Schizosaccharomyces pombe: one gene and its partners. Changing the gene in region 4 together with the main gene of any one other region gives a genetic interaction. Each region holds a gene or a part of one and is shown on either strand. Other genes may lie near its edges.

Region 1 (7,907 bases), 3.0 Mb from region 4:
CTATTGAAAGCAAATGTATCTTATTAAAAACTTAGTGAGTTATTCGTTTTCGTTAAATATTGTTATAAAAATTTACGGTAAAGATTCGTATTTAAAACAACGCTATGCAACGAAGTATTGTAATGCTACTTACTGTAATGTGTCAAACTGAAAGACACTATCAATGCTGTCCCAGATGGACATTCTAAGGGCTGAACTTCTTACTACCAGGTACGACAGAATATACTTCAATGTCGGCTCAGAAAAGGGTGTTTTTAAAGGTTGTTATATTAGGAGATAGTGGCGTTGGAAAAACATGTTTAATGAATCAGGTATGTTAATGCTAGGGGAGTTGCTGATGTGGTCGACGTATCGTACAGACGAGCTTTTTTAAGCATTACCCTCGAATTCAACCATTGATGGTGTAGTGGTTATCAATTGAAGCGTTAAATTTTATACGTTCAGTATATTTTTCTTTTTGGTTTTTGTATTGAGCTGTAAAATCCAATACTGCAATTTCCCATTGATTTTATGTCGATAAGTTGTTATTTGTCGCTACAAGGTGATTGCTTTTAAAATTTATTCACTTTGTTATTAAATACTAGCTCAAATATGGTTAACGATCTTTACATCAGCTTCTCTATGAGTATTGCTTTGGCAATTTGTTAACATCGTCATTTTAGTTCGTCAATCAAAAGTTTAGTCGCGAATATAAAGCTACCATCGGTGCTGATTTTTTAACCAAGGACGTTGTGGTTGACGACAAATTGGTCACATTACAGGTAAGTTCCAATATAAGTTCCGCCCATCTAAATTCGTTTGCTAATTATAAACAGCTTTGGGATACTGCTGGTCAAGAACGATTTCAAAGCCTGGGAATGGCTTTTTACAGAGGGGCCGATTGTTGTGTAATTGTTTATAATGTGAATAACTCGAAGTCTTTTGACTCAGTAGAAAACTGGAGGCAAGAATTTTTATATCAAACTTCACAAGATGAATGTGCATTCCCTTTCATTATCGTTGGAAATCAAATCGACAAAGACGCGTCTAAACGAGCCGTATCTCTTCATCGAGCTCTTGACTATTGCAAATCCAAACATGGATCAAATATGATTCATTTTGAAGCTAGTGCAAAAGAAAATACAAACGTTACTGACCTTTTCGAAACAGTCAGTCGTTTAGCTTTAGAAAATGAAAGCTCGAGAGATGACTTTGTTAATGACTTCTCTGAACCTTTGCTTCTTTCAAAGCCTTTGAATAATACATCTTCTTGTAATTGCTAGATATTCACACGCTCTCTCAGATTCTTTTACATTTCAAAATGTGCTATACGTTTTCTTTTCATAATATTTTTTTACATTGCTATTTTAACAAAACTATGGTTACTTTCTGTTCTTAATTCTTCTCTTTTCCCTCTATTGATACACGTTTTTTTTTAGGTGTAAATAGTCTTTTAATTATGACCTCAGTTAATAAACTTTTATGAATTATCTATATGCTGTATTCATATGCAAAAATATGTATATTTAAATTTGATCGATTAGGTAAATAAGAAGCTTAAAAGCCTTCTTCTCCCCATTCATCCTCCATCGGTGTACAATTTGTAATATTGTTGAGTGGAGCAGAAAAAATGTTGGTAGTGGGGGACGGTGATGATGGAATTGTCTTTACGGGTGATGCTCTTATGGGGGATATCTTCATAGGAGAAAAAGGAAGGTTCTGCGAGCTGTTTTCAATGTCCATCTCGGGTGTTTGTTCTTTCAGATTAGTTCTTTGCAATTTTTCCGACATAATATTTAAAGCGTGTTCATTAACTACACGCTGCTTTGGAGGACTTAATGGGACGTTCTTAGATGAAGCCTTTGAATACGTTTCATGAGGAGTTCGAGAGTAATTTGGGTGCGGTGACTTGGATTCAAAATGTGTATTGCGAGATACAGAATTTGGAAACTTGTTAAAAGGGGTATTGGAATTTCCAGAAACGGGTGAAGAAGACATATTGCTGTCACTACCATTTGCCCCTTGTCTTATCATGTTCGCGCTTCGAGACCGACTAGCACTGTTTAATCTAGCGTTTATATCAATTCGATTAGCAGTGGGGTGTCTTCTATTGGCGGTACTGGTTGCTGATGGCGGTTCTGCACTAATGGAACGACTTGGATTTTGAGTGTTTTTTACTCTAGGAAGCGGTGTCCTTGGACTCGTCATAGCTCGAGAAGCGGACCTAACACTTGGTGTTGAAGGTACAGCTACACGCCCTCGTTGAGAAGGTGTTCTATTAACAGAGTCCGTTGTAGTTGCTGTTTTCGGGCGGTTTGCGGCAGCACTTGCACTTCTATATAATGATTTTGGTTGAGTGGCCTCTTGGCAAATCTTGAGAAGTGGTTCATCATAAAAAAGGAACGTCCTTCCATTTCTTTCTTCCCATGCTGTAATCTCTGGTATAAGCAGCGACTGAACCTTAGGAAGTTCTCTAGAAAGTCGCTTACGGATTTTCTCTTCACGTAGAAGTAAACCTGGGTCCCGGCGTCCCCGTTGTGTTAGACGAGAGGCATCATTAGAACTAGCTTCAAGCTCTTTCTTTCCTTCTATTAAAGAGGCATAGCGATTAATTAAGCTTAAAAAGGACTTATTAGCAGAAACTTCGGCCTCTAGTTGCTTTATATAGTTTTCATGGGCCGTAAGAACCTGCTCTGTAATAATGTCTTCATACATAGGTGTAAAGGACTTTCTTTGTTCTTCTGAATAAAACAGAGAATCCCAAAGCTGAAGAATTTGTTGACGACAGTCTTCTAAAAAAATGGGTAAATGCTCCTTTTTTAACTGATGAAGTTTTTCAAGTTCAGTTTCCCATAATGAAATATTTTCTTGATTAATGTTTGATGAATCGCCAAATTGACTTTGTTCATTGGGAGAAACTTGAAGCTTATTCCACAAGTTGCTAACTTCTGATTGTATACTTTTTAAATGATCACTTCTCTTTTCTTTTTCAGCGGAAAAAACTTCTTTTTGCTTGCAAAGTTGGTCGATAAGTTCTTGAGTAACATAAACATCATTTGGTCGATTAGTATGGGATTCAAGCAATTGTTCGTATTGTGGAACATCAGCGGGCTCAACACCGAGTTCAGACCACAAACCCAAAATTTCTTCTTCAAAGGAATTAATAACCTCTAATCTCGCATCAATCTCCTTTTCGGCTTCGTTGATGCGTCCTCTCAAAGATTCAGTAAAAGCATCGGATACATCAGATAAAAATGAATTCTCAAAATCAGGTAAAACGAACGGACTTCCTAAGCGGTTACAATATGACTCCAATTTGTGATACATTTCTATACATCAGTTAAAACACAAGTCTAAATTAAAGACGATTACATACCTTTAATCGTACTTAACTTTTGATCATACTGTGCCATATATTGTCCTTCTACCATTGACAAACGATTCAAACACTGAATTAAAGGAGACTCAATTTTGAGACTAGAAGTATCATCCGTTAACTTTAATGAGGAAACCAAAAATCTGATTGAATCAATTCTTTGCTGACAGTCATCTTCAAGTTTTTTCTGGCACTGTTCCATTTCATGAAGCTGGGCATTCATTGCCGTTGTAAACAACTCAAATAATGATGAATTGTCTCCATCTGTTCCAAGGACTTGGTGAAGCCTTTCAATTTTAGAAAAATGCTTTTCCACTTGTTCACGAAACGCTTTCCAAGTAAAGTTAGATTCATTATTAGAGTGATTATCTTTTTCAGCAATAGAATCAGTGCTTTGAATGTCATCCATCATTACTGTTTGCATTGAACCGGTTGATGTAAATGAGCTCAATAAAACGATGTTTGAAATTCAATTAATAGAATATAAAGGAAGATATGAAAACTGTTAAGATGTTGATATATTATAACATAACAAGCAGTACAAGGAATTAACCTTGCATAAAAGCTTGGCACAAAAATGGTGGTTGGATATGGCTTGGCCTGCGAAAGTAACTCAGCATGCGCTTATATTCCAAAGAAAGCAAATAGATTTCAATGTCAGCACTGTATAAACGTTATTCAGCTCCTTTTAGTATAAACAAAATACTTAGAATTGTAAGTTGAAGAATATTTATGTGCCTGAAATATACCAATGTAAGGAAGCACATAAAGTTCTACAAACTGGTATCTTTTGCTCTACCTAAAATATGATACAAGAAAATTCAAATACTGCTTAAAAGGATACAAAGGCTTACTTTTTAAGTCTTATCGTAATCAATATAATTAGACTTATGCATACAAAATATCATCTAAGAGAGAAAAGCATTCATGATTTGTTCAATTCTTTTATTTGCTCATATTCAAAGACAGGATCTAGGACTATGGGAGAATTATTTTATGTAATATTAACCGCAATTGGGATTCAACCCAGTATCGCGAAACCCATTTCCTTTAAAAAAAAAATCATATACAACAAAAAGAAACAATTGTGAGTCGATTGTCCATAAAGACAGTAGGGATAAAAAAGTATTGGGTGAGAAAAAAATGAAAATAAATATAACCAGCTTGGAAGAATGCAAATGTATATAAGTCATGCGTTAAATTTTTACAATTCAACATGCAAAGGGCTAGTGGAGAAGGTAACGGCAGGCTTTGGGAGGTAAATTAACTGGGCTCGGCCAGCAGTGTTTGCTGATAGCTTTCCAGCTCGTCGCATTTGAGCTTCTAAAACAAATACTCGGAAAAAATTAGGATTTAATCGAGGACGTCTGATTTCAGGTTTCACACTTCGCTTTTCCCAGGGTTGAAGCGGGGTGTACAAAGTGAAATTGGCATCTGGCGCACAATCCTCCATCAACCAATCATCCTGAAAAAGCTTGAAATTTTGACAAAGCAAACCATTTGTCAGGTTGCTTTCGCCATGCGAAGATGAGAGATTTAAAATGGAGGCACTTGGATCCAAATGCACTTCTGGCTTGTGAAATACACGTCTGATGATATTACGAGATAGCGACATTATTTTATGCTGTAAAGAAGCTCGAGACTTATTTAAAGATGCTAAAGATGTTTTTTTGGACAACCTAGATGAGTAGAAATTAGATGATAAACTAGAGCCACTCCTATTGCAGGCGGTCAAGTTAGAGGAAGCATCCTTTGATTGTTCCAAAAAAGAGGATTGCTCCTCAAGACTTTTAGAAAGTGGATGGTTATGCTCTACGGGCTCCATAACTATGATATTGTTAGCAACGATGAATAAATAAAAGATAAGAGAAAAGGTTGAAAAATCTTAAAAGAACATACATTGACCTCTTAAACGAGGAACAGATTTGGATTTTTTTAAGTTGTTAATATTCAAGTAAATATCAAGGCTATTTGCGTTTACGAGGTTACAAGAGGAAGAGCTGGGAGTTGCAGGATTTGGCCCCGAATAGTAAGAGTAAGAAGCGACTGAAGACGTTTCCGAAGCAGAGTAGGAGGAGTATTCAGGGAATGAATTACACGAAAAATTCCACAAACAGTCGTAAGAATGAGAGTTGGTAGAAGCAGAACACTCGACAGGTGTAGAAAGAAGAAAGCAGTAATCACCTCTATTAACATCATCATTGTGTAATTTTTTGGACGAAGACAAAAAACGATCTAATTGTGATTTAAGAGTTTTTTTATTAGATAGAGTACTCAAGCGATGTGAAATTTTTCTATAACGATTGGGAACAGGGATCTTGGTTTCACTCAGCAACTGAAAAACGGCGTCTTGCTTTGATGCACAAGAATGGGTATCCTGAGACTGATAAATTAAATCCATCTCACTAGCTTGAGAGCTGCAAAGATTATGATCCCAACATTCGCATTGACAAGTTACCGGAGCTACTTCTGTGAGTGCTTTAGAGAAGCCAATTTCCAATGGTCTTAATTCCATCCGAGTCATCATAGAAAGAAATGTAAAAAGAAAGAAAATATAGCGCCTATATATAAAGCCAATTGATCAAATCCTACCGGTTTCTAATTGCAAAGCAGTTCATAAAGTGAATTAGAAGCTACAATGTTGGAAAGCTATACGACCTTCGAGCTTTCTAAAAATACAACAAACAAACGTTAAAGCCTTCAAAAGACGAATAAAAGGCTCAATTGCTTCTAGTTCTCGTTTTACAGCAAAAGAATGTGAAAACTGATTATCGAATGAAGGCAATTAAATTACACACGTTCACGGGTGATGAAACTTCAGCAGGCTAAAAGCACTAGCCAAAATTCCTGGCTTTTACAAGCAAAGGAATGATTACTGTTGAAAAATAAACCCAATTTTTACAAAAAAACAGCAATCAAGGAATTGTGAAGTAGGGATGGTAAATAGGGAAAGCAAGGAGAATTGCTGATTTTAAAGACCGGAAGAGACAAGTGGTTGCTTGTTTACCGTAATATTACTCCTCTATAGGCGAGAGGATGAATGCCGAAGTCCGGATAAAATTCCGCGGGGCTTGGGTATTGTTGACTTTGCTAGAAATAACCAAAGTATTTTCCTCCTTCACCAGCGTTGCTTATACGTTTTTACGAAGTCTAACAGCAGCGGCAGTGACTGGTTTTGCGCAGCCACGGATGAATGTATTAAGGATAAAGAAAGGACAAAGTGTGGTATAAGTAAAAATGGGATCTATAGGAATAATGATGATGAGATGCGATGAATGATTTGATATCCAAATGTGACTGAGGAAGACCTATACAGAGACGTATGAGAAGATATTTCGGATTTCAAAATCACTTTCTGAATAGCTTTCTTTAAAGAACGAGTCGGAGCTCACCTGTATTCCCAATGGCAAACTTGTATATGCTCTTTGCTGTTTCTCTCAAATTCCCAGTTTGCAGATCCGTATTTACAAGGGCAATTCGGAACTTTGTATTGTTGATATTTGGCAACGCTAGGTTAATTACTAAGGCTTGAATTATCGTTGTTTGTATTAGTAATACGAAGGGTTATGTGACAAACAGTATATGAACAATATGAGTTTTTATTTATGATTTGTATGCTTTCAAAAAAGAAAAAGGATACTGAATATCTTTTCTAAGTAATTGAAATACATTTGAAAATTTTATCGCTATTACATTCTCTCCCCTTCATAGCCGAGTAGTCAGTGTGATAAACGTAAAATAGATTTAAATTAAAAGATAGTCATTTCCCTTACACATTCCGTTACATCAACCGCATACGGATTGGGAAAAGCATATTTCTTTGTTCAGCTAATGGAGGAAAGTCGAGATTTTTTCGTACTAGTAAAATTTCCTCCTATCCAAAACTTAGCATATTTCGTTACTCACTAGTTCTGATGGTAAAGTCACAAGAAAATGGAAGCAAAATTTGTGAAATTAAATTTTCGGCCATCAAATAGGAAAAAGAGCGCATTGGGTCAGTAGGAAAAAAAATTAAAAAAATTACACACACATATACACATAAATGAAGATTGACTTAGTCGGTATCACATTTTGATCAATATCATTTGACACAAAAATTTCATGAAACATATTATTCAATTTGTCACGATGTCTTTAGCTATTTTTTTTTTAACTTGTTTTATTTTACTTGGTTTTAGTGAGATTTTCTTTAGGGCTTTGCTATGTTGAATAGTATACTTACCGGCAAGTGTTCCTAAGCCGAACTTTCCGGCTATAACACGTTAGAGAAGGGTCTGTCAAATCAATAGTAAAGTCCAATCTGCCAAATAAGTGCACGATAATAAGGTTGCAAGTAAATTTTTACCCGATGTAAAACTTCTAATTATTTTGCACTATCAACATCCACGGAACTCACGTGCCTTGCAATCCATGGAGCGAGTCTTACTATCTGTCCATATACAAATATATAATTCATTAAAGAATAAATTAGAACAGCTTTTACATCAGATAAAACGGTGCGTATTCAAATTTATTGCAATCCATCAAGATGCTTAATACCATATAATTGGCT
Region 2 (8,513 bases), 1.8 Mb from region 4:
CTAGATTTATCTAAATGGGAAGTTTCATTAGGCCAAATACTCCCATTTGCTAATTTTTTTTCAACTACTGTTTCTCTTGGTTTCAAAAACGAAATTTGATCCGATGTCTTTTCGTTTAGAAACTCTTTGTTTGAAGAAACAACTAAATCTAATTCCTTCAACTGTTTACATAAGATTGAGTTTTCCTTATCTGAAAATAGCTCATCTTTTACTTTGCATTCCGACCTTTTAGTAAAAACCAAATCGGTTTCAGGTTGTTGAGATATTTGGTCAATCTTAAAACACTTAATTGAGGACTTATGTTTCTTCATTATGTTTTGCGTTGGCTAATTTCATGGTTAAAAATGGCGGAATATGAAATAGTCGACAGTAAACAAACACTGTGTTTTCACTATGTCAACCTTCCCAATCTAGTAAACAAAAACGATAACAAGAGTAAACCAATTTTGGCACAAGCGCATTATAAACTTATACTGTATAAATTAATAATACCCCAAAAACTAAGAGGTCACAGGATGTGTAATGTCTGATGCCATAAACTGCAATAGTTGCTTCTGGTATAAAACGGTAGAAATGTGTAATGGGAGTGAAGAAAAAGAAACATACGTTCGAAACTGTAAATAAATCATACTTAAATAATGTTTTAAAATAAGATTTAACATTAAATAAGGATCATGATTTCGAGATATCAAAAGATGAATGCTTAACAGTGGTAAATAAGATTCGTCCTCGTCTAATGCTAAGTATCCTCTAGCTAAGATTGTAGAAATTTTCTTAAATTCATCGTTCGGCACAGGCATTGCCATTTCTCGGATAAACGCAACCAAAGAGAGCTCATGACTACTATTATTACGAATAACTGTGCTTGAAGCCGAATATGGAATCCTTGAAAACACTTTCGAAGTTGAGCCAGGTCCGTGCTCTGCTGAGCAGTAACCAACTGTAAGAGAAACATTGCCTTGTAAGTTTTCAGGTATTATTGCTTGATCCCAAAACAGATACTCTGCGTCAGACATCTCACCAATCTTCATGACGATTACTATCCAATCCATGTGCATTGAGTTAAGGAACGTAAATGTGACTTCTAAAATTTGCTGTAAAGCATCTTCAATTTCAAGGTCTTGGAGAAAATAGCGTCTCTCAGTTTCAAATTCTCCATAGGAATCATTCCAATTGCAAATAAGCAAGTGCTCTTCGACAGTTGTATACGTTACATGTAGCGCATACTCTCCCAAAGCTGAAGATCTGGGATTAATATCTTTAAGCTGATAGTTAAGAGTTGATAACAAGGGCTTTTTCAGGAGAAAAGCCGGTTCACGTCTCTTTAATGAACCATCCATCAATAAAGGATCATTATTATAAATGTCGAGTGAAACTTTTGTAAAAAAAGAGTTCGAATTTGTAGTATGCGAGTTGGGTGAATCAAAAATAGAATTCGGAATCGTGCATATTCGTAATGATTTATCTTCAAATTTATTATCCCCAAGTCTCTTGATTGAGTCCTTTACGCATATAAAATGTTGACAAGCCTTTAAAAGTTTTTCGGAATCATCTTCTAAAAAATAAAAAAAAAGTACGTTTTTTCCGCTTAATTCATTAACACAAACACTCGCTAGTTGTTCATAAGAGGTTGCTGTATCGCTTTGAGTTGTTTCATTATCATCATAATTATCTGTTTCATTAATATTTGTACTGAATCCCATCACTCTTTCGTTAATAGAAGTTTCAGATAAATTCAGTTTTCCAAGTTTGCAGTTTTCATAAGCCAGCTGAACATCATAAAAAAAGCTGATAGCCTTGCTGCTTACGTCGGGAGATTTGGAAGAGAGCAAAAAAACTTCAAAATCTTTGCTCTCACCATACGGTTGAAGACATAAAGATATCCAATTCTCTGGTGCCGAAGAATCTAAAGACAACTTTTTTTCGTTGTATTTGAGCAAAACACGAGGAGGTTGGGAGAAGTTTACCAACGTTTCAGAAAAGTTAACTTGGGATGGAGGATTGTCATTTAATGCGTGATGCCCGTTATTAATCGAGGACAGATAATTTTCTGGGCTTTTGCTCAAGAAAACAGCCGAACTTTCACCTAACAATATTTTCTCTAAATAATCCCTAATAGGCTTCCGCATGTACGAAGAAAAGTTTAAAACATCTTGAGACATCATGAAACTGGTAGTCATGCTTTTCCAAAAAGGTAACGATCTAAACCATAAGTTTTGAGACAAAATAGCGTTTAACAAGTCATTTTTTCCCAAGGTAATAGTGGGTTGTAAATCTAACGATTTTAAAAAACTGAAATCAAAATTTGCTGACTTGGATTCATTCATAAGAACCTGATGTGCTAACGATAGCGTATCATAATTTGAATCGGGGTTACTTTGTTCTGAGATATTAGTGGGTGTTTTAGAAGATGAAAAAAAATCGTGATTATACTCCATTGTAAAATCTTGTTGTATAAAGTTTGTAGAGCAGATGTCTTCATCTGTACTAGTTACCGATTCAGCGACCGAAAATGATTCAAATAAATCTTCAGTTGACAAAGAAGGAGAAGGGCACCAATATTTACCACCATAGTTATACTTCTGAAAAATACTGGAGATAGACGAGGGAAAAATTACCGCAGAATAGTATGAAGGCATATACGCAGATGTAGGGATTTTAGAATCTGAAATATTTAAAGAAATTTCAGGAATATCAACTTCGACGTTGTATGGATTTAAATCTTCGGTTACCATTCTATCATCCGATTGAATTTCCATTTGCTTTGGAATATTTTCGTGAGTATTCAAATTTGGACTGGTGTTTGATTGAGAGATGGAAGTGTTGATTTCCTCATTATCTAAGGTTGTCATAGTATTTGCAAAATTAGGCTCAATCATCTCAACTTTTTCTTCAACGTTAGGTAAGTCAAAGTAATCAAAATCAGCCTCTGTTATTCCAACATCGTCTATTTCCTCCATTAGTATGTCATCTGAAACATTATGATCAGCAACAAGTATCTCTTCATTTACTTTTATTGAAGCAGGTGTAGATTTTGCAGAATTTATCGAATAATTAACGGGAGAAGAACTATGAGAAGGAACCAAGGTTACAACGGCATCAGCAGTCTCTTCCTTTTCTGTAAAACCTTCTTTTCTTTTATCTGAAGCTTCCGCTTCTTCATTTGCGAACTCAGTTAATTCCTTTTTATTGTTTACGACGTTTGAAGGGAGGACTAGGTTATTCAAATCTGTAAGGTTGCTAGATAATGAATCATCATTCATTCGAAGGGCCGACGTTTCCAAAAAGCAAAGTTCTAAAGGCCAGGAAAATTCTAATGCCGAAGATTCTAAGGTAACACCCACCCACTTTGAAGTAGTCGTAAGAGAGAATCCATAGCGGTGTTTCAATGCATCAACAGTTTGAGCAGATGCGTTGGCATGCACAGAGGTTAATGTTGCCAAACAACCAGTCGGGGCTAAACGAATGACAGTGTCTAACTTTTTAACCAAATTATCCACTTCCGACAAACGATATACCGTCTGCCTTGTAGGCTTTAAGTAAAATTCTATATGGCCTTTCGATAAGACAGAAAGCTGTAAATCCACAACAGGATATCCATATATGTTCCAGAGCTGGGTATCGAAAGAAGGGTGTAATTTTAAAGGAAGAAGGACACCATAAATTGGAACAAAGTTGTATTCTTTGCACAGCCAATACAACACCGTTTTTTTCAATCCTTGAAGAAAGTTTATATACAGGTCTAATAGAAGAGCTAATTCATCTTTTTGAAAAAGAGCTAATCTGGAAAATGCACCTGAATTAAGTAGCATAAAAGAAGATGATTCCTCAGGAATAGATGGAATGGCTTGAAAATCATATACAAAAAGTAAGTCATTCTTCGCGTGAACAATGCAATCCTGATTTCGTAGATAAGCTTCTTTGTCTTCTAAGAGGGAAGCAGCATCCTCATTGTCCTTTCGCTGAACCTGATACTTCGCATAATATATAGTGTTAGGGCAAGGCTGATCAGTTAGCTTTTAATTTATCATGTTATAATAGAAATAATTACAATTGTTTTAATACTAATTAGATGAACTCCATCATGTACCATGGCAGAGGATAATGGCAGATTATTATATAAGAGGAAGTAGCTAGCGTACACGCGTAAAGAAAGCACATGCGGCCACTGTCTCATTTTAACATATTTCTTAAAACACACCTGATACTTTTACTGTTAATAATAAAATAAACAAACATTAAACTAACGGTTTAGTATGCAAATAAGCATAAATGCTTCGAAATTGATGAAGGAAATATATACTGACATATAATGTTTATATTAATCCCGTAATGACCGCTATTTTAATAAAAAAAGAATGCTCCGCCTTAAATTCCTATCCTTACTTTACAAATAATTAAAATGAATGAAAGTGTAGCAATAAAGGTCCAACACAATTGCAACTCCTTCAGGTAATATGTATGAACCTATCCCTCAGTATAATGTTAGTTAAACATTACATTCCCTTAAGACTCCTCTTGAATGATGGTTTAAACAACTCATGAGTGATGGCATCTGAAAAGTGAACGAGAAGATTACAGAGAAATTGGGATTCCCCAATCAGTTTTAACAGATACACTCATTGCTTATAAAGTTATAATAAGAAGGAAAATTTTTAAATAAATAAACTAGTTGTCAAGCGTTTTTTACTCATCATCCGAATCGACATCAACTGAATCAGAATTTTCAGACGAACTTTTTTCGATTTCGGTTTCATCTTCTGACTCAGTGTCTAGAGCACGAGCATCAAAGCTGTTTTTAGAAAAGCCCAATTTTTTGGCGAACAAATTCAACTCATTTGCAAACTAAAACAGAGGATATTAGAACCTTTTGAAAGAAGTAATTAAGAAACATCGATATTGACTTACAGCATCAGTCCCATCCTTCTTGGGTTGTTTACGATTGGGTTCTTCGAATTCCAACTCTTCATCGCTTTCTACATCTTCAATCAGCTCCAGATCCTCTTCGGTACCTCCGAGTTCTTTAATATCATGGAGTAAACCATACGATTGCTTTCTTTTCCGATTCGCTTTAGGCTTTTCCAATGATGATTTGGGTTCCTTAGGACCAACGGAACTTTTATGTTTATCAATAGTTTTGTTTTCCTCTGTTTTGTTTTTTAGTGATCTAGCAGAAGAATTTTCCACAACTTTTGAATTTTTTTTCATGTCCCTCTCGACGACATCCTTGATATCTGAAAATAAAGACAAATCCATATTATGATTTATGTCAAATAAAATAAATACAATCTTTTGTCGAGTTTATCGATTATTAGAGGATGTGAAAATCCAACGCAAAATAGAAAAGTGTGTATGCAGAATTAATGCTTGGTATAGTAGAAACAACAGAATATTTTCTCCTACTACAATATAGGTAGAAATTTGAAGAAATTGCACGCTTTACCACTTAATCTAACAATTTCGCTAAGCACACTATTGATGGTATTGGTGTAAACTCTTTAGAATTAGCAAACTTAGTGACAAGTGAAAAGGATGGGCGGTCTAACAAAATTTTCGAGTTATTTTCATTCCATTTTCTCCCGCTTCCCTTTAATAACGTTTTCTAATCCTTACCCGGGCGAAAATGAAGATTACAAAACGAAAACAGTCATGTATTTGACTATGTGGAATTCCGACTTGAACTCAGAGGCTCTGGACGTTAATAGTCTTCAATGGCAAACCTGGGCAAAATTAAACGACCCTTCAATTGTTTTTTTAAATGTGTCTAACCACGCCTCTCCAGATGAGAAAGTACCTTTTATTCAAATTGAATCTCGAAAATTAGTCCTCAATCCATCTCTTTTACAATATTTTTTAAAGGATGAGTCAACACTGCAGCAAATCTCTCCTTGGATGAGTTTGCTGATAAATCAAGTAGAAACGGCAATTCTCTTAACTATGTATTTGGACAACGAGAACTTTTCTGAAATTCAAAAAAAATGGTTACCTAACATGTCTTGGCCTTTAAATATTATTAAATCAATCGGGTTACCTTCTCAAATTAAACGAAAAATTTGTCTTCAGTTGAACGAATCAACTCTTGATTTTGATGCGGTACGTTTAATAATTTTTGATAGCAGTTAGTCTTCTAGACCGAGCATTTTGAAGCATGATTTGTACTAACAAAGCTTAGATTTTAGAGGATGCTTCGAAGGCGTTTTCAGCTCTTTCAGAACTTTTAGGATCGGACAAATGGTTTTTCAATAACGAATCACCTTCTTTCTTAGATGTTTCTTTGTTTGCTCATGCAGAAATTATCAATCATTTACCTTTAAAAAACGATCAATTAAAGGTTGTTTTGGGGACACACAAAAATTTAACTGATCTCACAACGCGAGTTAGAACTCTCGCTGGTTATACATCGGCTGGACCCATTGCTCTTCGTTAACATTTTAATTAATTGAGCATAGCCCAACGAAATTTTATTTCTTTGATTGCTTTGACCGAAGTTCCCGATATTATTATTTTATTTTTAAACGTGGTTATAATGTCAAATGCATTTTCTCATTAATACTAGCTTTCACATAATGCTAACATTAACTTTACCATGTTTTTCCGTTAATTTATTTCAGCTTGTTTTTAGTACTTTCTCACTCTATGTTAAAAAGAGAATAAATTAACAATAGGTCAATATTATATAAGTATATTTTTTCAAATGCCACCAGCATAAGCCTAAATACTTTCTAATAGTATATACTTCTCACTCTAATACAAGGGATTGTAACTTCATCGACCTGAGTACTTGGTTTATAACCCTTAGCTTGCCACTCTTTGGCAAGATCCCATAGAAAAAAATCAATTGTGATAGCATTAACATCTTTTCTGTTAATGTTTTGAAGAATCTTTTCAACAGCCCAAATGCTACATCCACGCATCTCGATTTCCATAGGATCATTATGAGCTATCAATTCATTTTTTAGCAAACGCTTTTTAAAATCAGAAGAATAGCTCAGACATCCTAATTGCCACAATATCTGGGGAACGCGATAGTCAGCAAACATTGTGATAGAATCGATATCGTCAAATCGACCGTAATTTTGTCCCTGAAAGCAAGCCCAAGTTTCTGCTACCAAAATTTGAGCACGTTTGAGCATATAACATTCTCTTCCTTTGTAAACAGATACATCTCTAAAATCAGGGAAATCAGCCAACAATAGCTTTATTAGTCTCTGCGCTTGATTATGACATTTTTTGAGTAATCCGCAGTATGAGCCATGATAAGAATCTACCAGTACACGGCCAGAAGCTCGCATGATTCTTATACGCTCCTCTAAAAGCGGTATTTTTTCAACGGTAGCACTGTCAAATACAGAAGCAATGAGGGTATCAGGACATTGTTTTTCATCAGCATAAAAAGCAGGGCTTGTAATGGGAATACCAGCATCTAATGCTTTGTTAATGGCTGCACATAGACTCCAATAACCAGTGTAAAGCTTCCCTTTGTATTCAATAGAAAATCTCTTGGAATGTTTTCCACTGTCTTCAACGTCAACGTCTGACCAAAATGAAAAATTCAAAATGTCCACCAAGAAAATCCTAAAGATTTGACGTTAATACATTATGAACAGGGTAAACTTGTTGAAATGAAGTATTAAAAAAATATAAAGTGTATATGTTCAGCAGCTCATCTTTATTTAATCTACGAAAACATTCAAGCGTCCACACATACCAATCTAAGGTAGAGACGTCTCGGGTTTTAGGGTGAAGTTCGTGATTCTGCCACTCAGCGAATTGGGGTCCCAACGAATCTAGCTTCTCTTTAATCCATGTTGCCACTGCTGCACAACCACCTTTATTAACTTTCACATCGTTTGAGTTCTTTCAATCGTTCATGTTAGCAGTTATTAATAAGTAGTAAAATTACCAAAGAAATAAATTCAGCATCTTGAAGCACTCGGGACATTATAAGAGTTTTAAGGGAACGTGGATGATGCCAGTTTACACTGAGACCTAGAAAGGTAAAACACAAGAAAAATAAGAGCACGAACGAATATTTTGTAAGACAAGCGTACTAAGGATTCATTAAAAAGTAATGAAGGAGGAAAGTGTAAATAAGTATTTCATTTCATACATGTATCTATAAATTATTCGTACTTTATCTTACTATAATTATATTATTCTATAGATAGCCCAATTTTACAATCCAAGAACTACTGGTTTGTGTAACACTTGAGCTATTAGCAACCTAAAAATGCAAAGGAAATGAATTTGAACCGATTAAATTGAAACTAGGAAAAAAAACATCGATCTTTAATTCTACAACTATCAAATTAAATCAACCAGTGAAAGGACGAAATAATTAAACAAGCATGATGACTTTAGAAGTATCATTGAATGTCCAGCGTTCATAGATACTTAAGAAGACTTTTCAGTTTCGTTTTCGTTCAATTCAGTGATTGTAGGGCCATCAGACTTAGCTGAAGCATTGTTAGAATTGGACGAAGTGCCAGTAACAGCAGCTGCAGGCTTGTTTC
Region 3 (7,764 bases), on a different chromosome or scaffold from region 4:
GTAATTCTTTTTGAACTAACAGGAGCTTTAAACATTGCTCTCCCTCTTATGCTAGCTACTTTAATTAGTAAATGGGTCTCGGATAGCATTATTGAAACATCCATTTACGATGCTTGGATTCAGTTTAGAAACATACCCTACTTCCCTTCTTCCAACTCTTTAAAATTTTCAATACCCTTGAATTTTCCAGTACGTTCTCCGGAACAACTGGTGAGGCTGCCGATTAGAAGTTGTTCCATTGAGGAATTAGAGAGAGCCATGCATGATTCTTCACAGTCTTTCTTTGTTGTTTTAAAAAATGATACTGAATTTTTTGAGGGGTTCATTTCAAGAAATAAAGTCTCTGAATTACTGAATAGACGTCCAATGAGTTCTAATATGCAAACAACTGACAATACTGGACTAGACCCGCTTCGAAGTGCTTCAGCACCTGTTGATTCGACTTTTGACCTGTTTGATTATATTCACCCTACCACATTTACCTTAAATTATGATACTCCACCAGTTTTAATGCTTAAATTATTTAAAGATGCTGGCATTACAAATTTAGCCCTTCTGAATCATGGGAAATTACATGGTGTTCTAACCAAGATAGTATGTTTTATTTGTACCATTTGATGTTAACGAAATATACTAACTAACTTTAGGACATAATAGAATATGCTAAAAAGTGCAAGACTCATACAGGGAACACTTATTCCGAGCTTCCAACTGGCGTTACTTATGAAACTGATATTTTCAACCGCGCCGATGACTAGCAGGTTTATGATTTATATGTATCTTGAAAACCGAAATATTTTTCTCCATATTTGTATATTATAATTCATTTTATCTAAAGAAATTTTAAATAGAAAAAGTCTCCCATTCCATGACCATGTGTATTTATTTTATCCAAAAAAAAATACATATTTCTACAACGAAGTGCTTTTTAACAATTCTTTTGCCGATTGAGATACAGCTGGTGAATAATGATTTTTCAAAAGAAATGGTTCATAGAGTACAGCCGTTGAAGAGTTAGACAAATCTGGGTCTTCAATAAAAGGGTTATAAATGCCATCACCAATTTGCTCTTCCGAAGTAAGTAACCGAGAGAGTTTTGAATAGCGAGAAAGTAACTTTTTAAGCAAAGCTAAGTCTGCAGAAGCAGAGTGTTCTGGCAGTTGCATGCTAGCAATAGCAAGCCTTTTGGAAAAAGAACTTAGCCTTGAAGAACTTATATTTTTACTCTTAAAAAAGAAGACTTGGAAACATTTTAATAACATTTCCATCTCAGTGGTAGCATTTACTACAAAAGGTTTAGAAGGAGCATCGGGATCCTTTAAGCGCTTAATCTTAAGATTTAAATCAGCATCTGGATTTAAAGAAAAAGGGAATATTATTTTGTAAAGTCTTTGAACGAAAAGACCAAGATCTAAATCCAAGTTCAATTTACCAACGCCTTGAGCCGAAGCAATTTCGAAAGCTGTGCTAACAGTCAGAAGTGCTTCACGAGTTGCTTGAACTCCCGATTTGTCTTTTGGCAAAAATACAGTATCATCCATCACCAATTCTCGCAAAACTTGCAATAGATCGCCAAGAAACTCAATGTTAAGTAAATGCGATAATCTGGCGACCCCTTCAAGAGCATTACCAATCAGTTTCCCCTTTAATTGCAGTGTTTTAAAATAAGTTATAAATATTATTTTTAAAATTTCCGACTGATACTTTTCTTTATCTTGAGCTGTAATGACAGCATCAGCTTCCTTCATCTCTTGGGTGATTTTCTTAGTTTCCTTGTAATTTTTCCTAGCTTTCTTAGTCAAATATGGCAAGTCTTTTTTACGTTTTTTAAAGTTTGTGGTATCATCCTGCCATGCCTCGTCTTTTATTTTCATATCATTAAGGATATTAACACTCAAAAAAAGATCATACACATCTGGAAGAACGTCGTAATTTCTCTGTTTGAACATCCTTGATAAAATTGTAACACATTTCAATGAGGTTTTACCGAGATTGTCTTCCTCAAATATATTTTTTAGAGAATTGATAATGCCATCAAATCCAGGTCTTTTGGTTTTATGGCTTATTTGTCGAACAGCCAATGCAAATAACTTCTCACTTAAATTAAAATGTGATGCCTGTTCAATTAGCTTTGTACAACAACGAACCGCGACCTGATATAAAGACAGCTGAGTTTCATCCAGAGTTGAAGAGAACGATTTCAATATAGTCTCCAAAGTTTGAAGAAACTTTGCATAATGTTTAAGTAATGTTTGCTCGTATTCCCATCGTTGAGCAACTTCTTTAGATAATTTTGTGCCTTGTTCTTCTTCACTCAGTGGACGTATTTTATAGCCGGGAATAATATCTCGAAAAACAGCAAGCAAAGTTAAAAGTGAAAGCTTCTTAATGGTGATATATGGGGAGTCAAACTTTTCAAATATATTCCGAATCAGATGAAGATTTTCAACTGGTTCTTCCAACAGCTGCTGGGCTTGTATTCCTAAAGCCTCCTTGTCGTTTTTTATTTGCTGTTTCACAGGTATTTCAGGAGCAATTTTTTGCTCTTCCAATGATTTTTGTTTTTCATCCTTAATGTCCGAATCAATTTCCAAGCTAGCCTCAGACTCGCTTTCTGAGAGAAACTCTTCTCCGTTGTTTACATCAGCAACCACATTTTGTAATAATCCATCTTTAGTCTTAATAGGAAGTCTATTGTAACTTTCATTATTCCAAGATGAGCTAACTCGAGGTCGTAATTCATAATCTTGTTCATCTTCAGAGTCCTTCGAGTAATCAAGTACGGATTCTTCATCAGAGCTCAATCGTGAAGTGTCCAACTCAAACTGTTGAGACTTTTTCAGATCATAGATATCAGGCCGAGGGCCTTTTTCTACTTTTTTGCCTAAATCCTCTGGATTAATACTAGAAAGATATTTGAGGGAGGATGGATTCTCGTTGAAAAATTCAATATCCTCTTGGGTCAATTCTCTCTCAGCAATTTCGGGCAATGCAACGCCTTTCTTTGTCGTCTTTTTAGAATCTAGCGAAGTGGCATTTTTTCTCTAAATGTAAGTAAAAAAATATTATTTTTATTTCGCTTATCATACCGGTTCTGTGCTACTCTGCGAGTTATTCCTTTTTGAACTTTTTTTGATATTTTTAAGTTTACTAGAAGCAACCTTTGGTTTTGGGGATTTTTGATTCTTCCGAGCCGCCATTACTTTTTCAAATGGGCAAAGGCGACATTCATTGAATGCCACAAACAATTTTTTGCTACAGTTTGAAGTTTAATGGAATATGCTAAAGTGCGTTAAGCTCTTTTGCTAACTTTTGTTCTTATAATATACAATATTAAAATTTGGGTTTTCGAAGAATTATTAATATATTTAGGTCATTAAAGCCTAATGTTAAACCGTTTAAAATAAGAGACATTTAATCGTAAAGTAAGATTTGAAGTAAGCAACGCGTTTCTTTAAAAAAAACCTCCGAATATTATCCTAAAAGAGTGAAAGGATTTGCTTTTCAGCGTCTACAAAGCGCATCTCCTGTGAAAACCTTTCCGCTATCCCATGGACGATTGACTGGGCATGATATATTTGAGAAGCTGCTAAAGCGATATCGGGTACAGTGCAAAGTGTACCAAGAGCCATTAATGCTCTATAAAAAGCTTCGTTGTCAGGAGATGGATCATCCAAAAATGAAAATAGTATTGATAAAAGTTCAATTCCAGTGTTCTCGAGGTTTAGTTGTATCAACAATATTGATAAATTCATTGCTAATGTTGCAAACGCAATTTTAAAGTCCTTGGCGCTACTAGCTTGCGGAACAGTAGATGTCAAACAATCCATCAGTTTCGATACCCCTTCAGCATCAGTGATATTTGGGACAACATTAGACAAACCACGTAACGCTAGCATCACATTGATCGATTCAAAATTCCCACTAGAAGGCACAGATTTCACAACTCGGCTAAATACTTCTAAAAATATTGGAGCTAAATCAGAAGAAGAATTGATTGCTAGTAACCTTAAAGCATCTAACGCAGGAAACCTTTCTGCCAAAGACCATGAATCGAGGATAGATAAGCAAGTTTCCAAAAGCTCATTTTTTTCTGTATCTGTAATTTTTTTTGAAGACAAAGCACGTTCTAAACTGTCGATAGATTTAGCAGGTAAAGGGTTTGACTTTGTATTGTTTAAGGAACGTAATCTTTGACACATTGCCGGAACATTAGCATTAGAGAAAAGCAATTGAGAAACTGGAAATATGGTCGTCTTAATCTTGTTTGAAGATTGGCTCTCTAGGTTCGGCTCCTTTTTCGATTCCAAACTGTGACCTTGAGTATTTTTTTCAATAAATTTAACTACTTCGTCGGTGTAAGACAAGGGAAGTTGATTCAGCTCCAAAAATCTGTTAGCAGCTTGATATGGATTTTCGGTAGCATTATAAGGAAGCTTTAAAGGAGCTTGACCATCTGCAACGTCAACATCAAAGACATAATCATATTCTTTTCCTTCAAATAATTGCTTCCTGTTGTTACCAACAGCATCGACCACTTGGCCTATTTTTTTCCATTCATTCTCTTTTTGAGACCATTGGTAAGCCTCAACATCATTATTTACACGAACCATTACAACGTCCCCGTCAGCTTTACCGGGTTTTGAAAGAATTTCTAAACCAGGCAGTGACCCTTTTTTAATATCACCAACTTCCTGGCTCGAAATGGCAAACTGAGAAACTCTTTCTTCAAAATTTTTCAGTACTTCAGTAGGTGCAACTCGAACCTTATCCACTGTGAAAATGCGAACAAAACCATCACTGGAACCGCAAACTAAATCACCGTTTGGAAGGGAGGAAACACTCCAAACACTAGTTGTCGGTAAAGTAATACATTGTAAGCACTCTTTACCTTTCCAAATCCTGATTGTACGATCCTCACCACAAGATGCGATCAGCTGCTGGTTGTGGATATAAGTTAAAGAATATACAAACGAGGTATGGCCATGCAATTCATATAAGAATTCACCATCTGAAGTCCATAGTTTAATAACACCATCATTAGAGCAGGAAGCAAAACCTCCAGGAATTTGACAAAGCGAGCGAACACAATCGTTATGTGCTAAGATAGATTTGACAAGCTTTTCTCCGTTCCAAATCTTGATCAATTTATCGGCTGAACCTGTTATAAAGATATCCTCACCAAGGGCAAGAACAGCCCAAACTGAGGATTGGTGCCCTTTAAGTACATATTTACATTGGCCTAAAGCCCATACTCTAGCCGTACTATCCCAGCTTCCAGTAATAATTGTTTCGCTATTTAATGCAGATGCAGAACAGATGTTGGACTCATGTCCAAACAAATAATAAGAGGGTGAATTAGTGCCTACTTCTTGAAGAATACCACATTTGTCTTGTCCGCCTGAAAATATGTAACCTTTGTCAAAGTTAATAAATAAATAAAATCAATATCAGTAATTACCCCTAGAGTTTTTATCGATCGCCGGCACATAACAAACACAATTGACAAACCCTTCATGATTTTCGTAAAAATGGGGCGTCCATTCTCCATTGATTTGCTCCCAGACACTATAAGTTCCATCTCGAGAGGCAGATCCTATCAATTCATTGGAAATACTGCAAACACCGCGAACCTAATATATATTTGTTATTGAACATGTTCATGATTATGGTATTAACAAATAACCCTTTCTTCATACATCTTGTTTATGGCCACCTAGCTCTCGTGAAAGTTCATAAGAGGTCATTTTCAGTCTATTAAGGATGATTATGAGAAGCCAATATAAAGGTATATTTGCTTTTCGCAGAAGGAAGTTAAACAGGCTTTCACAGCTTATACATAGGAACAACTTGATATCATTGACATCGTTAGAATCCCTTAAAAGATTACTTCTAGCTGTAGTTCGAGCACATTAGAATACCATGGAAAATACAATAGTTTGAGGACTCAAATTATAATTTGCAAATATTAAAAATACACATATATTTATTTATAAGGTGGTTTTGGTAGAATTTTCACAACACTTAATTATTAGTCTTACCAATTGGGAAGAAGCACATTTAACTGGTTTGCTGCAGCAAATTAATATATCGATTTATCCTGACTAGTTGCTTAAACTAGCAAAAAAACTGCAAACAACAAATTTGTAAACAAGTCATTTATAATTTCTCAATTCCACAGCAATCTTGTAATTTAAATCCAAAGTCCTCCATTAAATTTAGTATGTTTAAGAACACCAAAAAAAATGCTAACAATACACTTTTTAATAGTTTTCTTATATTGATCAAATAAAAAATCATTCATCATCATAAATCGTGTACCATACCCCTAGTATCATTACGAAGGAAGTAAATTTAAACATATACTCCAATATGATAGCTATCCATCCAGATCACGATGTCGACGACTACGGGAATGTCGACGATGATGACGGGAATGACGGTTTGAATCTGATTTATCTGAACGGTCCGACGATTCATGCTTGAGCTTTCTACGCTTTTCTCTATGAATGTAATCACGCATGGGATCAAGTAAATCTTTTTCATCTTTGGGTGAGAGTGTTTGTTCAACTTCGTTTTGTATTATCGTTTTGTAGTCATGGTCTGGTAAATTAGAAGTGTTGATTGTACTCACTGAAAGAGAACTACCTGATTCGCCTAACGGTACTAAGTTGGCAGGTTCTTTTTCTTTTTGCGGTACTTTGTAGCTAGCAACGTGATCAACACGAACCAATCTGTCAAGTAACTTTACATTCGTCATATTGTCAACGGCAAGGACTGTCGAACGTTGATCCTCATATTTTAGAAAGGCGAAGCCTTTCGATTTTCCGGTTTCTTTGTCGCGCACTAAATTAATATCCACTGGCTCGCCAAACTCAGAAAACACACATAAAATATCATCTTCGTTCAAATCAAAATCTAAGTTGCCGATGTAAATATATGCACTATCACTATAATCTTGGTGCCAAGAACTGCTAAAAGGTTTATCCAACTCTTGCTCGTTTAAACGCTCAATTTGACGAATGGAGCTACTTTTGTTAATTTTAAAATTAAAAAACGAAAACAGCGAAAAGATGAATCGGATTTTTGCTATATTTTAGCCTCAATAGAAAACTTACTTCATAACAACCTAAGGTATTTTAAATGGTAATTAAACTTTGTAACAGATTGATTTCCAAATTTTTCTTTTAAAATAAAAAAAAAGATTGACAAAAATTAACAGTTGGAGGGCAAAATGGAGAAAAACAAGTTAGCGGCGGGTTTATGGCGTAGGCTTGAATTCCGGGCTTTGTAAAAAAGAAGATAAAACACGAGAATGGGTTTGAATAAGAGGATGTCCAGCAACTCTACATAATAATGTATTAGTTTTTGTGCAATTTAAAACGCTCTTTGGGGCAATAAGGCAAAATTAACATTCAATACTTACAGTCGTAAAAAATTTTCCAAACCTTGTCTACGTTCTTCGATAACATCATCTCTAAATCTTTGAGTGAATATCTTTCCTGGAAGTGGTGGAATTGAAACACGACCGGACTCTCTTTCAAGCATATCGTGAAATTTCTCGAATTCGCTGTAACGTCGACGAACGCTAGAATTATGTAGACGAAAATAGGGCATATTGGTCTACAAAAATGAGTTAATAATCTGCTATCAGAAGATGAATTTCAGTGGTACCTACCCGACAAACAATTTCATAAGTAGTAAACATGTTTCTTCCAATACCGTGAGTTTGTGGATTTATAACCTAAAATAACATCTATTAGA
Region 4 (6,185 bases):
TAGCGTGGATTTGCATACTCATTGTTCATACCAGCTTATGCTACCTGAAGCTATTGCAATTGTTATGGCTCCTTCCAAAAATACGTAAGAAAAAAATTTTTTTTTCTACATATATTAACGACTTTTAGCTCTGGCATCTTCCGTTTATTAGATCCTGAGGGACTACAAACTATAGTCAAGTGTCGAAAACCTGGGCTTTTTCATCCACATGAGGGAAAAGTTTATACGATGGTTGCTCAGCCTGGGCATGTTAGAGAAATTAACTCGAAACTTCAAGTTGTTGATTTGAGGGTTAAATAGGTAAGGATGCAATAGTAACACTTCTTTTATTCTATTATTGGTTCATCTTACAGACGCCAGGCACTTATGAATTAACTAATGGTATTTGTAACATGGTAGTGGCTACGGAAAGTTCATTATAGGAAATGAATCTATGCGTCTAATGAAACGTTCTTTGATGAATTTGTTTTTTTACGAGGATTTTGTTAAATGATAGCGAATGCGTTATGAAAAAATTATCAAAAAAATTTTATTTATTTAAAACACCATGTATCCAAAGAAACCAAAATAACGTGAAGGTAGTTTGAGATGCTCACTCTTGAAGCTAGATTAACATCCAGTAACCAATGGTAAGGTATTAGTTGTAAATTTGTAATCCAAACATGGATGCAACTAAAATTACCAATAAACGCTGCTAATGATAATATAGCAGAATAAATGAGAATGAGACATATAAAAATCTGTTTAAATAAAGAGCATGCGCTACGAATATGGAACAAAAGCAAAAGTGCTGACTAACTTAGCATTCGTAAATGTGTCTCTAGTTTAGTCCGCCATGACAACGTTACTATTGTCAGCAAGCTTGGAAGCTACACTCTGTTTTGGCTGTCCAATATTCACCGCAGCTTCTGCTTCTTCTTGTGTATACGGCTCTTCACGCAAATTTTTTAACCTTCGTTTGTGAACCTTTCCCTTCTTATGCACCAGCAATGCTTGAGACGAGTCAAAGTACCGTGCACATTCAATGCAATAATGTTGACCTAAACCTGGCAAATCCGGATCTATAGGTAATTTATCAAATTTCTCAGACTCTGTTAAGTCATTGTGAATCTGATCTAAGTCTCTATTTGTCCAATTGTTAATTTACCAAACGATGATTGAATGACCATGAAATTTGCATACCTCCCATAAACACGAGTTCTAAACAAAGCATGATTTCCATTGCTATGATGCTTTCTTTTTCTGGCAACTCTTCCCATTGTCCGTCACTTCAAACAAACCCGTTTACCACAATTACAATGTTAGTTGCAAAGGATAAACTTTTTTAAGCGTAAACACATTCAATATCCAAACGGCGTAATGTGTGCTATATCGTATAGTGAAAAATAATTCTCAAATAATCTTATTTTCCTATCGTAGTTTGCGATAAGTTTAATAACGAGAAGGAAAGCCTCGTTATATAGTTGAAAAGCAAGAGAAATGTATTAGATATGTATTATTGATTGTTCTGAATAGCTCAAGTAGCGTAAATTTTTTAATAAATAAATATTCGTTCAAAATTTGGGAGAGCATGGTCAAAGCAAGTTGAAATGCATGCCTTTGAAATTGCGCTTTTTAAGCGACGATTGCTCCATCGTTTGACAAAACTTTGTAATTTAAGGGATGTTTAGCATCGGAATTTATTAGGGAAAATTGCTTTAGGCGTGATTCTTAGTACATGGCAACTATAGAAGAAATGAATTAACATTCAGTAGCTTTCTGGCTTTAACTGCCACTATTTCATCAAAGTCTCGACAAGTTGACGTTTAGTCGAAGGAAAGAAAGTATTCACGTAGCGAGATCAGAGTCCGCTTATCAGCAAGGAAAAAATTGAGCTCTCCATTTAGACTGCTATACTGAAGTGTGAGCAATTTTAGTGACATTTAGTTTTACAAAAGGAGCTTGATTGCTCGAACTCAAAAGATTCAATTAACCACGAAGGGGTTCTTGGCAGTGAGGTTGTAATTATTTCTTTTTTATTTTATCTTTATTTGACTTTTGTTTTTTCCCAAAGAATAATTGCAATGTTCAATTAGTTTTGAATTTGAAAAACCTCATATGGGTAAAAAATCACTCGGTCGAAAAAGACAGTAAAAATTTATTAGTTAATTTCGTAAGATGGGGCGCGAATTAAAGAAAGTTGCTAGTTATCATGTAATAACATAATTGAAACCCTCGATTCGACAAGTATGCAGACAGCAAAACGAATGCACGTACTAAACAAATAGTAAGCCATTTTTTGTAAAATGAAAATGTGAATCAATAAACAAATAACTTTGCCTATCTCAATTCAAACGTGTTTTTTTAAAATATATCTATCGATTTGTAATAGGCAAATTGTTTATTGCAGCTATCTCCAAGCTTGCTTAATCACATGTTCAAAGATGCAAAGCCCAGCATATCCGTGTAGCATATGTTTTCATTCAAAAAAGTAATAATATCCTAAAAACATATTTAAAACAAGCTATCAATTTTAATTTTTTCCCTATAAACAAACGTATGCTATATGAACATGTGTACCTAAATTTTTTTCGACCAAGATTTATAGACTCTATGTTTGAAAGAGATCTTTTTGTCCATATCGATAAACTAAGACTGCTTGAAGGGCAGATGCTGACATCTGCAGAGCAGGAAAAGAAGTATGCGTACTTCGTAAAGACTTGAGTACTGAACGTAGGGTCGATATATCTTCTCCATTCAAAAGCTCAGGAAGTTTATAACAAAAGCAAAAAATCCATTGACTCTAGAAAAATGTTAGCAAATTTTAGAATGAACAAAAATACACCAGCAAAGTAGCATGAGATCCTTGTTACCAACCTGTAAATCAATTGCGTCCTTTTCAAGCCAGCTGGACAAGCTTTCTAGGATCTCCAAAACAGTTGCCAAATCAACCACTGCTAATATGGCCCAACAAGGAGCTTTATGCTCAATATATACACGCCATTGTTGTAAATTTTTAGGTAAAATAGATGCGTCCAATGAAGAAGATTCCATATATTGCTCAAGCCTTTCCCCTTCTTTATCAATTATGTTTAGTAAGTATCGTAAAAACGGGTCAAAGCTTTTTTTGCCGGCCTCGATTTCCAATTTGCGAAGAGGAATGGTTTCTCTTGTTTCAGGCTCACGACGCGCCGCTACAAATGGAACTAGCTTGCGAGCTTCTTCTCTGAACTTGTCAGTAAAAAGCCCAATTATTGTTACAATGATTAGATTAAAGCATTCATGTTGCAAATTTCGATTTTCACAAAAATTCATATATAAATGTTCGTACCTCACAGTTGCTAAATAATCTAAACCATCAAGTGGTATATCATATTCCAAAGATTCTGAAGCACTATTGTTGTCGATTTGTGGAAAAGCGCTGCGTTGATTTGTTTCCTCATCTAATGATCCTGAAGTCTGATATTGTAAAGGATTTCTTTTTCTTTTCGAGGGCATTTTGAATTATTATTGTACAATTGCAAACTTCTCATATAAACCAAATGGAAAAGAATTACCGAATTTTCATGAAAATACTCAAGGAATGTAGGCTGTTTTTTTCCGGCAACTTTTCGTTTGTAGTTAGTTAACAAGGAATGTTTCGTAAATCGAAGATTACCCTAGTATAATAGAATGGTAAGGTTAAAGAGGTATCTGTAGAACTATCAATGTGAAGAGTCTATCTTGATCAAGTGTAATGCTAAAACTAATTTTAGCTATTTCTTGATAATTCCTTTACTATCATAAAATTTATTACTTGTTCTTATTTTCAAAGAAGTTCAAAGTTTTGCATTTTTTTGAAGTGTATAAGAAGCTAAAACTGGGAGAATATTCACTCAGACAGAATTGCCTATCCTTGAACTAATTTAATAAACATAAAACATATAGATATGTAGGAAATTGTACTATTCATTCTTCTGTCAACGCAAGTAACACCATCTGCGGCCACTTAATCAGGCACTTACTCTACACAATATACAGATCAGTGCTTTATCCCCAAATCCCATTGTTCATTGGTGAATTGGTGTTTTGAGCAGCACATATGCCCATTCTAACATGCAGATATAAAATTCTGTTTCTTTATAATTTACGGAATTGCTTTACTTTTCAAAATCAGCGATGTCTCATACCATATGGAACAACCACTACCATTAGGTGGTATAATGCAAATTTTCAAGCTGTTCAAAACAACTTTTCTGATTATAAAAACGAATTGATCTCTTCACATCGTCCAGAAGCTTCCAGTTTACTCGACTTTTTGGTAAAGGATCAAAAGAAAAGTGGTGATATTAGTTTGCATACAAAATTTAATCTATATGTGGACGATTTATTGAAAAAGAGCGAAAAAGGACAAATTAAAAAATTTATTAATGATATTAAAAAAGATTTGGCTACGGAATCTCAGCTTCCATTGTCTGCGCCATTCAAAGATGAATCTACTCGGACTATGACAGATCCCCAAGTTTTAGCTTATATTCATCAGTCTATGCCGTATCAATATGCTTCTCTATACAGCGTATTGACTGACTTGAAAATTGTAAACAGTGATGTGTCTTGCAAGTCTCAACATATACTGGATTGCGGTAAAGGTCCAGGTATTGGTGCTCTAGCTAGTTATTCAGTCTTTCCCACACCTAATTCAGTTTCAATTGTTGAGGAGAACCCATTTTTGAAAAAAATCATATATGATATTCACCATAACATTTACCCGTCAACTTCGCCGAATCCAACTAGCCCTGTTACGCTTAACCGTCTACCATTGGGTAAAAAGGATTCATACACTCTAGTTATTGCATCTAACAAGCTTCTTGAAATGAAATCGGAGAAAGAACTCTTTGATTATCTTCGTTCGCTTTGGAGTCTCGTGTCAAATGATGGTGGTCTTTTGGTGCTCTGCGAGCGAGGCACAAAGCGTGGCTTTAGTTTGATTCAAAGAGCTAGAACATTTCTATTGCAAAAAAGTAAAAATACTTCTGATAAACAATTCAATGCCCATATTGTAGCACCCTGTCCCCACGATGGTCGCTGCCCCATTGATATAGAAAATGGGGTAAGAGCAAATATTTGTTCTTTCAAACAACATTTTTTCCTATCCCCATTTTCCCGTCTATATGTCCCTCGTTCTCATCGTCGATCCTCGGATCGCTCTCATTACAGTTATGTTGTTATTCAAAAGGGTATAACTAGACCGCTTAATAATACCACACAAAGGTTCAAGAATGATGAGGATTTACTAGAAAATGTGAATGTTACATCTCCAACTCTTAAAAACTGGCCACGTATAATTCGACCTCCACTGAAGCGAGATGGACATGTCATAATTGATGTCTGTGATAGCGATGCTCGGCTTAGAAGGAATATTGTTCCTAAATCACAAGGTAAACTAGCTTATCGATTAGCTAGGAAAAGTGCTTGGGGCGACTTGTTTCCGTTAGAGGGCAAAGTTCAAAGTACTTCTCCAAGTAGTAAAATTACTAAACATTTAAAAGATGCTTCTTCTACCTATTCAATCAATCCCCCCTCATATAATAAACCCAAAGTTGAAAGAAATACAACTGCAGATCCTATTTTTGTCGGAAAACGATTCTATTCGACTAATCGTCATAAAGCTTTTTCTCGATTTGCAGACTTTAATTCACATCGTTTCCCTTGTATTTTTACTTCATTTAGCTGTTACAATTGCATCTCTGGTACCAGGAATATTTCACGACAATATTCGAGAGATAAATTCCACTATAATCAAAGGACCACTATCTATTATCTGGTTGCAATTTCCATTTTTGCGTTGGGCTTGACATATGCGGCTGTACCTTTATATCGTCTTTTCTGTTCGAAAACAGGTTATGGTGGCACTCTTAATACCGACCAAAGTCGTATGAATGCAGAAAGAATGGTTCCTCGTAAAGACAATAAAAGAATCAGAGTTACTTTCAATGGCGACGTTGCAGGAAACCTTAGCTGGAAGCTTTGGCCCCAGCAGCGTGAAATATATGTTCTTCCAGGCGAGACTGCTCTAGGGTTTTATACTGCTGAAAATACGTCCGACCATGACATAGTAGGAGTTGCAACTTATAATATAGTACCAGGTCAAGCCGCTGTTTACTTCTCAAAGGTTGCATGCTTTTGCTTTGAAGAGCAAAAGCTAGATGCTCATGAAAAAGTAGACT

The links.
Region 1: mutations in bud20 (region 4) and ase1 together harm fitness more than expected from each alone (negative genetic interaction), as found in Schizosaccharomyces pombe (2 studies listed by BioGRID).
Region 2: mutations in bud20 (region 4) and med13 together harm fitness more than expected from each alone (negative genetic interaction), as found in Schizosaccharomyces pombe (2 studies listed by BioGRID).
Region 3: mutations in bud20 (region 4) and lub1 together harm fitness more than expected from each alone (negative genetic interaction), as found in Schizosaccharomyces pombe (2 studies listed by BioGRID).

The regions. Positions count from the first base shown.
Region 1 is NC_003424.3:1,874,234-1,882,140, reverse strand, and holds ase1 (antiparallel microtubule cross-linking factor Ase1), read right to left. Parts: upstream 3,953-7,907; 5' UTR 3,780-3,952; coding exon 3,356-3,779; exon of another isoform or gene 3,309-3,355; coding exon 1,537-3,308; 3' UTR 1,415-1,536; downstream 1-1,414. Other genes in the region: GTPase Ypt71, read left to right, coding at 231-311, 663-761, 816-1,262; SPOM_SPAPB1A10.08 (uncharacterized protein), read right to left, coding at 4,560-5,182, 5,255-5,882. UniProt on the Schizosaccharomyces pombe protein: Required for anaphase spindle elongation and microtubule bundling in both interphase and mitosis. Has a role in spatial and temporal regulation of septation and cytokinesis and ensures equal partition of segregating sister chromatids.
Region 2 is NC_003424.3:3,094,575-3,103,087, forward strand, and holds med13 (mediator complex subunit Med13), read right to left. Parts: upstream 4,094-8,513; coding exon 4,052-4,093; intron 4,017-4,051; coding exon 501-4,016; downstream 1-500. Other genes in the region: protein mug74, read right to left, coding at 1-311; protein Noc12, read right to left, coding at 4,687-4,845, 4,909-5,256; mtx2 (metaxin 1), read left to right, coding at 5,533-6,093, 6,173-6,427; protein qng1, read right to left, coding at 6,723-7,575, 7,709-7,857, 7,904-7,942; snd302 (pho88 family protein), read right to left, coding at 8,395-8,513. UniProt on the Schizosaccharomyces pombe protein: Component of the srb8-11 complex. The srb8-11 complex is a regulatory module of the Mediator complex which is itself involved in regulation of basal and activated RNA polymerase II-dependent transcription.
Region 3 is NC_003423.3:3,542,759-3,550,522, forward strand, and holds lub1 (WD repeat protein Lub1), read right to left. Parts: upstream 5,806-7,764; 5' UTR 5,748-5,805; coding exon 5,700-5,747; exon of another isoform or gene 5,634-5,699; coding exon 5,462-5,633; exon of another isoform or gene 5,417-5,461; coding exon 3,480-5,416; 3' UTR 3,370-3,479; downstream 1-3,369. Other genes in the region: SPOM_SPBC887.02 (ClC chloride channel), read left to right, coding at 1-594, 648-758; Noc2p-Noc3p complex subunit Noc3, read right to left, coding at 912-3,044, 3,090-3,200; RNA-binding protein Cwf29, read right to left, coding at 6,380-7,028, 7,119-7,123; sorting nexin Snx3, read right to left, coding at 7,262-7,346, 7,427-7,623, 7,679-7,744. UniProt on the Schizosaccharomyces pombe protein: Acts as a negative regulator of vacuole-dependent ubiquitin degradation.
Region 4 is NC_003424.3:4,902,918-4,909,102, forward strand, and holds bud20 (zinc finger ribosome biogenesis protein), read right to left. Parts: upstream 1,317-6,185; 5' UTR 1,260-1,316; coding exon 1,183-1,259; exon of another isoform or gene 1,124-1,182; coding exon 826-1,123; 3' UTR 501-825; downstream 1-500. Other genes in the region: sst2 (AMSH-like ubiquitin-specific protease), read left to right, coding at 1-84, 129-300; yip11 (SMN complex subunit Yip11/Gem2), read right to left, coding at 2,591-2,782, 2,857-3,205, 3,311-3,477; rsm22-cox11 tandem protein cox1102, read left to right, coding at 4,061-6,185. UniProt on the Schizosaccharomyces pombe protein: Involved in pre-60S ribosomal particles maturation by promoting the nuclear export of the 60S ribosome.